Rattus norvegicus: one gene and its partner. The protein of the gene in region 2 purifies or fractionates together with the protein of the main gene of each other region. This does not show direct contact. Links are inferred from orthologs where the notes say so. Each region holds a gene or a part of one and is shown on either strand. Other genes may lie near its edges.

The links. The genes of interacting proteins can lie anywhere in the genome.
Region 1: the proteins of Yaf2 (region 2) and Tfdp1 purify together in Homo sapiens (affinity purification with mass spectrometry; 3 studies listed by BioGRID and IntAct, counting the BioPlex papers as one, with this or other methods). This does not show direct contact. The link is inferred for Rattus norvegicus from reciprocal best matches to the Homo sapiens genes YAF2 and TFDP1.

Annotation. Positions count from the first base shown.
Region 1 is NC_086034.1:82,900,283-82,904,793, forward strand, and holds the start of Tfdp1 (transcription factor Dp-1), read right to left. Parts: upstream 2,885-4,511; 5' UTR 2,699-2,884; exon of another isoform or gene 2,076-2,698; intron 1,890-2,075; 5' UTR 1,827-1,889; coding exon 1,815-1,826; intron 1-1,814. UniProt on the Homo sapiens protein: Can stimulate E2F-dependent transcription.
Region 2 is NC_086025.1:126,375,744-126,380,432, forward strand, and holds the start of Yaf2 (YY1-associated factor 2), read right to left. Parts: upstream 2,917-4,689; coding exon 2,891-2,916; intron 2,594-2,890; coding exon 2,468-2,593; intron 1-2,467. UniProt on the Homo sapiens protein: Binds to MYC and inhibits MYC-mediated transactivation. Also binds to MYCN and enhances MYCN-dependent transcriptional activation. Increases calpain 2-mediated proteolysis of YY1 in vitro.

The DNA.
Region 1 (4,511 bases), on a different chromosome or scaffold from region 2:
ATACTCGATGCTCTGCCTGGGCACCAGCAGGGGCAGAAAAGCCCCTAAGCTATTTGTCTTCTGTCTGCCCTTTCTGAGACCTAGAGCGTGACTTTTGCCCCTCTGTTCTCGCCAGCGTCATGGCCTTCCGAGCCCCATGTCGACAGTGCACTTTACAGCCAGAGTTCGTCTTAAGCATCAAGTGCTTACACAGCTCCAGTGGTGCCTCTTTCCTACCCTTCAGCACAGGTTACAAAGTCCCTTTCCAAACCCCAATACTGCATCCTACTGAAAAAGCACAGGGAAGGCCCAACCCTGCAACCCCCACTTCCAGCCAGAGAACAGGGGGAGCCGCTTCGCCTCTGCCCAGGTCTGTGCGCACTTGTGGAGGGACAAAGCAGCAGCGCTCTTACCCAGTCACAGCACTGGCCTCACCATACCACAATGGCTAACCCCAAACCAGCTGGCCTCACACTCTCCACTGGATAGGACATCCTGACCACTTGCCATCATGGTGTCTACCCACCCACCCACCCCTTCCCCAGGGACACAGCACACAGGAGTGCATGATGCAAAACTGAGGTGACAGGACTTGGAGCATGCTGACTCACTGAAGATCACTGAAGAAGATGCAATGATCCCCGAAACCACACCAGGCCATGGGGTCTCAACGAAGGCACGGGAGCCAGTGCCCTGCTTACACACCGTTTACCAGACCTAGCTACTTTGTGGGCACGCACTGAGCGGCACGTCTCTCCTTAGGCACACACGGGGGGAAGAGTCAGGACGTGGAGGCAGGCAAACAACAGACATAACGAAATCGAGCCCCACGCCACATACAGCTGTGACTTCAGGTGACCTACACACGGTCTCTCAGGGTGGAACTCGACTCCCAAGAGCAGGTCCAGTGCTTGATGACCATAAGACGGACACCGTCTGATCCAGGTGGGCCACTAGGCATGACTAAATCCTTGGGCCTCTAAGTCAGGACAAGACTCGGTACCTGCGCCACAGTTTCAGTGCACTTGGGTACAAGTCTAGCTGATGTGGTATTATCTGCCTGCATTTTCAGGGCTGCACAGAAAATTACACTCATCTAATAGTCAAAGGACAGTGAATGCTGAAACACTGGCACAGGCACGATCAGTGTTGGAGGGAGTTATAAAGTAATACTGCGAACATGTATGTGACCAAAATCACAGACTGTATTTTTGCCCCCTAAAAGCCTAACTGTCAGTACCCATTTCAAAAAAGAAATTTCAAATGCTCAGTAGCTTTGTAGTAAATACGAAGCTTAACCAACCAGCGTTTCCGTGTTTCATTAACCACCAAACGTCATCTTTCTGAGAGAAAAATGTGCCCAAACAAGTAGTTGGGATTCAACCCATCAAAGTGGAATTACGGTCTTACATACTACATAAAACAAGTTAAGTTTCATGCATAATGCATCGTAAGTTGCATGCTGACAGCTCTCCTTCGTGGAAACCCACTAGCAAAATACCCCCCTCACACGTTCATTTCAACTGGGAGATGCATTCAAACACAAATTTTGTATTCAAGCGGTTTAGATAGATTAAAGAAAAATCCAGACATCATCATCTTAACCACAAAGAAAAAAAAAAAAAAAAACGTGCCAGGCTTCAGATGACAAAGAACATTTGTGCGGAGGGGAGGCACCCACCTACTGACTGGCCACCCCTCACCTCCATCCCAGCTCCTGCCTGTAAAATGTCTGAGCAAACCACTGCCACGCAGGTATGGCCACTCTCAAATAAAGGGAGAGAACTGCAGCGAGCTATGCTAACATGTCTGCAGCATGCAGAACTCATACTTACATCTTTTGCCATGTTACCAGATCCAGGAAATCAAGGCTTTAACTGCGTACCCTCCACAGAAGAAACCGGACTTATCTGGTAAAAAGGAAGGGGACGAGTAATGAATGAGAATGAAAAAAAAAGAAGTTTAACGCACATCGCATTTCAAAGGAAACATCTCCCCACCAGCACGAGGCAGGCCTCCAGGCAGCAGGGGCCTTTCTTGCACAATCCCAACAGGAGAGCTAGCCAAGCAGGTCCCACACAGGGATTTTAAGTCACCTCTCCAAATGGAAATGCTCCCTGCGGGCACCAGCAGCTCCCACCCGCAGAGGGGCCAGACCCCGGCCCCTTGGCGGAGCGAGGCGCAGCCGTCAGGCTCACCCCACCTGGGCACGCGGGCCCCGCCTGACCACAGGCCCCACCGAGTCACAAGGCCCCCCACTTAGGCACACGACACTGCGTGGTTCTGCCCGGGCTGCAGCAGGCCCCGGGGCTGCCCAAGACCCCGAGGTGCCGCCGACCACTCTGACAGGTGGGCTCCCGGCCGCCCGGCCGCCCCACCTGTCACTAGGCCCGGCCACCAGCCTCGCGCGCTGGCGCGGACAGAGCCGGAGGGTGGCCAGGACCCCTGCCTGCCGCCCACGCCACGCCGCGTCGAGGCCGACTCCGGGCTGAGGCTGGGCGGCGGGCGGGATGCGACCGGACGCGGGAACCGGGCTGGGGCGGGAACGGGGCCGCGCGCCCAGCCCGCGCCCTCCCGCCGCGACCGGCCGGTGCCCCCGCCACACCTGGCTGGCCGGCGGGGCGCGCGGGGCGGACGACGGGGGCGCGGGGGCGCCGGCCCGGAGGTCCGGCCCTGGCGGTCCCTGCCCTGAGCCAGCGGCGCCGGGACGCGGGCTCACCCTGGGCCGAGCGTCGGGCCGGCGTGACGTGCGCGCGGCGCGGTGACGTGGGCGGCGGCGGGCCCGCTCCGCGCAGCGCGCCTGCGCGCCTTTTCGCGCCTTCGGCGCCCTCCTCCTCCTCCTCCTCCCGCCGCTCATCTCCCGCGCCTCTCGCCGGTGCTACCCGCCCTGGGATAGGGGAGGGACCTGTGCGCGCGTGCGCGTGTGGCGGCCGCCGACGCTGAAAAGCGCTGCGCGCGCCTCCATGTGCGCTCGGAGAGAGGCCACGTGTGTGCGCGCCTCTGTGTGTGTACACCAAGGGCCAACTGTATGCATGTCTGTGTGCATGCGCAGGGAGAAGAGGGCCACGTGTCTGCCTCTGTGTGTATGTGTGTGTGCCACGCGCGCCAACGGTGAAAAGTCTGTGGTGTGTGCCATACCTGCATGTACACATAGGGAAAGGATGATGTGTGCACACCTGTGTATATCCATAGTCTCGCTATACAGACACGTGTGTATTCATGGAGTATGAGTCGTGTGTGTGCATGCCTGGACGTATATATAGAAGAGAACCCTCTGTGCATACAAATATGGATACCTATGTTTAATGCCTGCACACTGAAAAGAATAGGTGAGTGTGTACACACAAGGGAAAAAAATGACCAGTTCTGAGCGTGCTTTAAAGTACCTGCATGTGCACCACAGGGGGAGGAGTCTTGTACATTTATACAGAACAAAGTAAAGGCTGTTAGGATGCATATTGGACAATGCAGAGACAAGATCCCCCACCTCTGCTCAACTATTGACCTCCACAGCCACAGGGCCTGAACTTGGGCAGTCAGAGGGAGCAGCCTGAAAGACAGGTGTGTGTGTGTGTGTGTGTGTGTGTGTGTGTGTGTGTGTGTGTATGTATGTGTAAGACTAAAGCTGGAGAGCCTGGGAGAAGAATAGACTGTGGCTTGCAAATCAGTCCAAGTGGTTCAGATAAAATGACCCAACTTTTCCCAAGCATATGGGACTAAAGACCAGAGCGCTGTTCAGTACTATCAGACAACTGTTAATGTGAGCGACCAAATTTTATTCTGAGGGGTGGAGAAGCCAAATTTGACTCCCAAACAGATCTTTCTCTATTACCTAGCTTCCTTGGTCAGACGAGTTAGCATTTGACTGAACAGTCCTCAAGCTGCTGTCCTGTTTAGAACTCTTCCTCAGCTGCTTTGAGGAAGCAACACTGTAACCACAGCAGCTTATTGCTAAAGCACAGCTACCGTTCCAGAAGGCAATACCCAAGGCATGAGTATCTCAATAGCTTGCACCAGACCTCTTACCATCACAAGCTTTAGTAAGCTCTAGTAACCATCTTCACCCAGGATGGGAGGGGGTGGGGGTGGGGTGGAGGGGGAAGCATCTGTAATGGCTGAGCAGAAAGGCTGTGATTGGTGCAAACATCCTTGCCACACCCCATTTCTGACTATATAAACAAGCTATTTGGCTAACTTTTTCAGTAAGCTGGGAGAGTCTTTCATCCAATAGGAACTCCTCTCAGGTGACGGTTTACAAGCTAGACTGGTAATATGAAGAGATAAACCACAGAGCATCAGCAGAGCAGTGACAGCAGCAAGGGGGAGTCTGAAGAGTTCTGGGGAGCAAACAGGTCCAGAGCAGCAGCACACAGGTGGTGGGGCGACAGACAGAAATGGGAAGACACTTAGAGAAGGTAAAGTGCCAGGACTGAAGAAGGCTATGAAGGGGCAGAGACGTGAAGACGTGGGTCCCGGCCACTGGAAGAATTCCAGGGAGCGGAGCGGGCCAGCCTTATCGGGTAACAGTCGTG
Region 2 (4,689 bases):
GATGCAGCCAAGGAAAGTAATTGTCTGCTCCATTATAGAGCATCTGAATCAGGTGCTTTAATAAAAATTTTACATATAGGTGTGTATACATCCATTCCAGTGAAATATTGAAGAAATACTATGAACCCATCTTTTATAAAGACTTAAAGAAGAAAAGCTTTCAGACATCTAGAATAGCTTAGGCTTGGCTTTACATGGCAACTGAAACAGATTCAGTTCAGAGGTCGTTCTGACCCAAGGGATTCAAATGCTGGCTGTGGTCACACAAACAAGTCATTAGCAAGCTGTAGCCCTGTGCTGCAGCTGCCTGCTCCCTGCTCTCCCTCTGGCCAGCCTTACTCTTTAAATTCTACCTGCCAATAAACACGTCAACTGGGGGAATAACCCCCAACTCCTCAACTCTTGCCTTCCATCTGTGCTCCGCAGTCCTCCGTCCTGTTTTCCTCTCATTCCTCTACGGAAACAGTCTCATGTAACCTGCATCTTCGTATTAACAAGGCCCTGGTGTACGTCTATGGCTCTATCCAAACGTGGATGCCACTCGACTTCAGAAGAAGCAGAAGGAAACATAACAGCAGAGAAACTCGAGCTCCTACAGTTAATTTAGGGGCAAAGTCAAAAGAGACAATTCAGAGAGAGGAAGAAGCTGAGAGGGTCATAGTGCAGAACACTTACTTTTGGGAACACAGTGTCCCTTAAGACTTCTGGTGAGTGGCCCAGAGCCTCTTCAGTTTCAATCCAAATGACAATGCTTCTCTGAGTCCTCCTCAAGTAATGTTTCCACCACTAAAAATTGGATCTACAAGAGCTCAGATATACTGGTAATAAAAAAAGTCAGGGGCTTCCAAGTGGGCCCCAGGCCCCTTTTAAAGTAGGCCCACTTCTGTCCTGGGCCAACTCCCCTGTGCACTACAATCCTTCCAGGGGCAGGGATTCAGCCTGGTGCTTCTCTTCTGAGTGTCACCACCTACTCTACTTCTCCGTTCCTCTAAGCCCAAGACTGGCTGTGGAGTAGGACACCAGCTTCCCCCTATCCTTGCTGTCCCTGCAAATAAACAAACAGACTCGTCTAATTCCTAAAAGTATGAGAGAATAGAAGGAAAAACAAAAACAAGCGAACAAAAAAGGCACCAATATAGTGGCAGAGATCAGGGTTATAGTAATTGTCTCTACTTCAAAACGCCTGCCTCAAAATAACCAATCAAATGAGCTACATATTGCGTATGTCCAAATATGTATACAGTACACACTAAGCCATTCCCATCCTTACACAGACATACACCCTGTGCTTTTCAAAACACTTATAACAGGAGTCCAAAAATAGAAGTAGCTTCTCATTTTAGAATCTTTCCTTGAACTTAAAAAGTATTTAAAACCTTGCTTTTTAATAGATGCCAAGAAACGCCGAAAATATTCTATTCGATGTAAATGAGGACTCACAGTAAAAAAAAAAAAAAAAAAAAAAAAAAAAAACCTATTGAGATTTACACGATAGGTCTGTCAAAAGCGGCCAGTATTGTAGAAACAATAAAATCTCTACATGTCTCTACACTCACCATGTTAATAAAATTCTATAAACTGAATTTTAAAACCGGGATACCTCCTTTTTAGAAACAACTTTGACTATTTAGAATGTCAAAATTATACAGGCCCTCTTTTTCAAACAGAAAATTCCCCATGTTCTGCGATAATTTATATTCTAATAGGCTTCAGAGTAGCAAAATAAATACGTTACTTAAACATTGCTACAAATCACAGGACTCAAAGAAATGAACTTAAAGTCTGCCTTCCTGCAAGGGACCTGTGACCAGGTGGAGACGGATCAAAAAGGCCACTGACTTTTTAAATGTTTTTAAAAGACAATACTATATATCTACCACACCACAAATTTAGGGCCAGAAACAGACAAAGATCAGGATACCCCGTTTGTGTAAAGATATTCAGGCACTCGAGTAAAAATGCGTTGCTGGGCTCGCCTCCCAACTACTTAATTGTAAAATATTACAGAAATGGAACAAAAACCAGACGTGAAACCTTGGCCTGACCCTTCCGGACATCCGTTACTAAGAAAGTTTGATCTATTACGATCCTACAGCGATACTTTTTCCCCAGGGGGACCGAATGACATCGCGGCCTTTCCTCCGTCCCTTCCCCCTCCCCGTCCCCGTCCCCGCCCCCTCCCCGCACACCAACACCACAATGCGGCCAACGTCTCCGCGCCCGGCTGGGGAGGGGGACACCGCGCCGGCCACGCACTGAATAGCAGCGGCCGGCGACCCCCTTCCATAATTCATCCCCCGAAGCAGGCGTCGCGGACCACGTCGCCGCTGCCGCCGCGGCCGCCACCGATCCCTCGCCGCAAGCCGCGGCTCAGCCGGGTCGCGCCCCACCGCGGACACCGCCTGGCTGGCCGCCCCGCCGTCCCGCGTCGCGCGGGGGCCGCGGGCCGCGGACGCGCGGGACTCACCGGGTGGAGGTGCCCTTCCGCACATCGCACATCATGCACTTGAAGGCCTCGGCGCTGTTCCGGAAGGTGCAGACGCTGCAGTCCCAGTAGCCCTCATCCGAGGCGGGCTTCGGCTGCCGCTTCGGCCTGCAGGACACAACCGGACACGACGCAGCGCGGGGTCAGCCGCAGGCCGCGCCCGGCCCCGTGCCCCGCCCCGCCCGGCCCGCGACCCCCGCCCCGCCCGGCGCCGCGCGGGGGAGGGGAGCGCGGCCGCTGACCCCGGCCGCCATCGCGGCCCATTGTGGGCAGCGGCGCGCGGCGCCGCACCCCCTCTCCACACACACACACACACACGCACACACACACACACACACACACACACACGCGCGCGCCCCGGGCCGCGCCACCGGGCCGCGGGCGCTCCGCCGGCGGGCGCCCTACCTGGTGGGGCTCTTCTTGTCGCCCATGCTCGCTGCCGACGCGCGCGAGGCCGCGGCCCGTCTGTCAGCGCCGAGGCGAGGGGCCGGCGGAAGCGCGGAGGCGAGGGGGCGGGGAAGGCCGCGCCGCGAGCTGCAGCCGCCGCCGCCGCCGCCACCGCCGCCGCCGGATCCCACGCAGCCTCCAGCTGTCGGGGAAACTCCTGCCCGCGCGCACGTGACCCGCGCCGGCCAACCAGCGGCCGCGCCGGAGACTTCAAACGCGGGGAGCGCGGCCCAGCACCCGCGGCGAGTTCGCGGCGCCGCCTCCCTCCTGCTCACCCGCTCGCCGCCCGGAGCGCTCAGGCCGTGGCTCGCACGCCCGGAGGGGCGCGGTGGCTGGCGCCCGCAGACACACGTGCGCCCAGCGCGGCGGGGACCGTCGTCCTTCATTGGGGGTAGCGACCCAGAGGCTCGGGAAAGGTTCGGTGCCCTGCTCTGACTTACATAATTCGAACGTGACGAAACCAGGGTCTGATCCTGTTTTAATTCCAGAGGCGTCCTCTTGGCCTCACGGGGCTCTGCAGTGGCTTGTTATAAAACGGACGTTCGTGAGCTTTCCTAAGACGAATGAGGTTGCTTGTGTCCTGGACACCACCTCCCCAGCCTCGTTACTTCAGCCTATCAGAGACACACCTCGCCTGTTAGACCCAAACAACCATCTCGCTGGTCCTTTAAGCTCTGCTCCCACCTCCCCAACCTAGCGGGTACCCCACAACCAGAGTTAGCGTGCCATCGCTCTGATCGAGAGGCGACCTTAGCGTGCCAAGTCAGGAGAGCTGCTCCTTTGAAGAAAGGGTAGATGAAATCCATCCTTTCGCGGAGCCCTGCCTTTACTGCCTTACTTGGGTGTGCTGATGGAGGCGGTGTAGCTTAGCGTTAGGCTTAACTAACTGAAGAGGACCCAGTTCAGGCACTGAGTACTTAACAGTTGATCTGTGTGACTCCTAGTTGGGATACACTATAAAGGGTGTTTAGAAAATCCAGCTGGACTAAAGCAGGATAAAGCAAATTTTCATCATAATACTCAGAGGGGGGTGGCAACTAAAAACTTAGGAGTTAATTATTTATGAAGTCCTTAGTATTTTGAACTATATTGTCCGTGGGTAATTTAAATAGGAAAGCAGCTAAAAACCGCAGCTAAGGGAGACTGCTGTATTGATGTATTACTTACCAAAAACATCAAAAGTTAATAACCGAAGGGGGAATGCTGACCTTTTATCATTGGGAATTAGAGATTAATTGGGGTAATTAAGAGGGAACCGGGCTACCAGATTCTGAGAGAAGAAACTTTTTTTTTTTCTTTCGGAGCTGGGGACCGAACCCAGGGCCTTGCGCTTCCTAGGTAAGCGCTCTACCACTGAGCTAAATCCCCAGCCCCCTGAGAGAAGAAACTTAAAATGAAGTATAGCAGAACGGGCAAGCATATGGCTCAGCGGTGGAGCACTTTTGAAAAATCATTTTAAAAAATTGTTTTATGTGGGGTCTGCTTGGTTGTTTAGTTTTTTTTTGTTTTTGTTTTTGTTTTTTTTTGCAAAATAGACTTGATCTAGTTGAGTATAAAAGTTATATGTTAGGGCTGGAGAGATGGCTCAGCGGTTAAGAGCAACCTTCTACTCTTCCAGAGGTCCTGAGTTCAATTCCCAGCAACCACATGGTGGCTCACAACCATCTATAAAGAGATTCGATGCCCTCTTCTGGTGTGTCTGAAGACAGCTACAGTGTGTATATATATATATATATATATATATATATATATATATA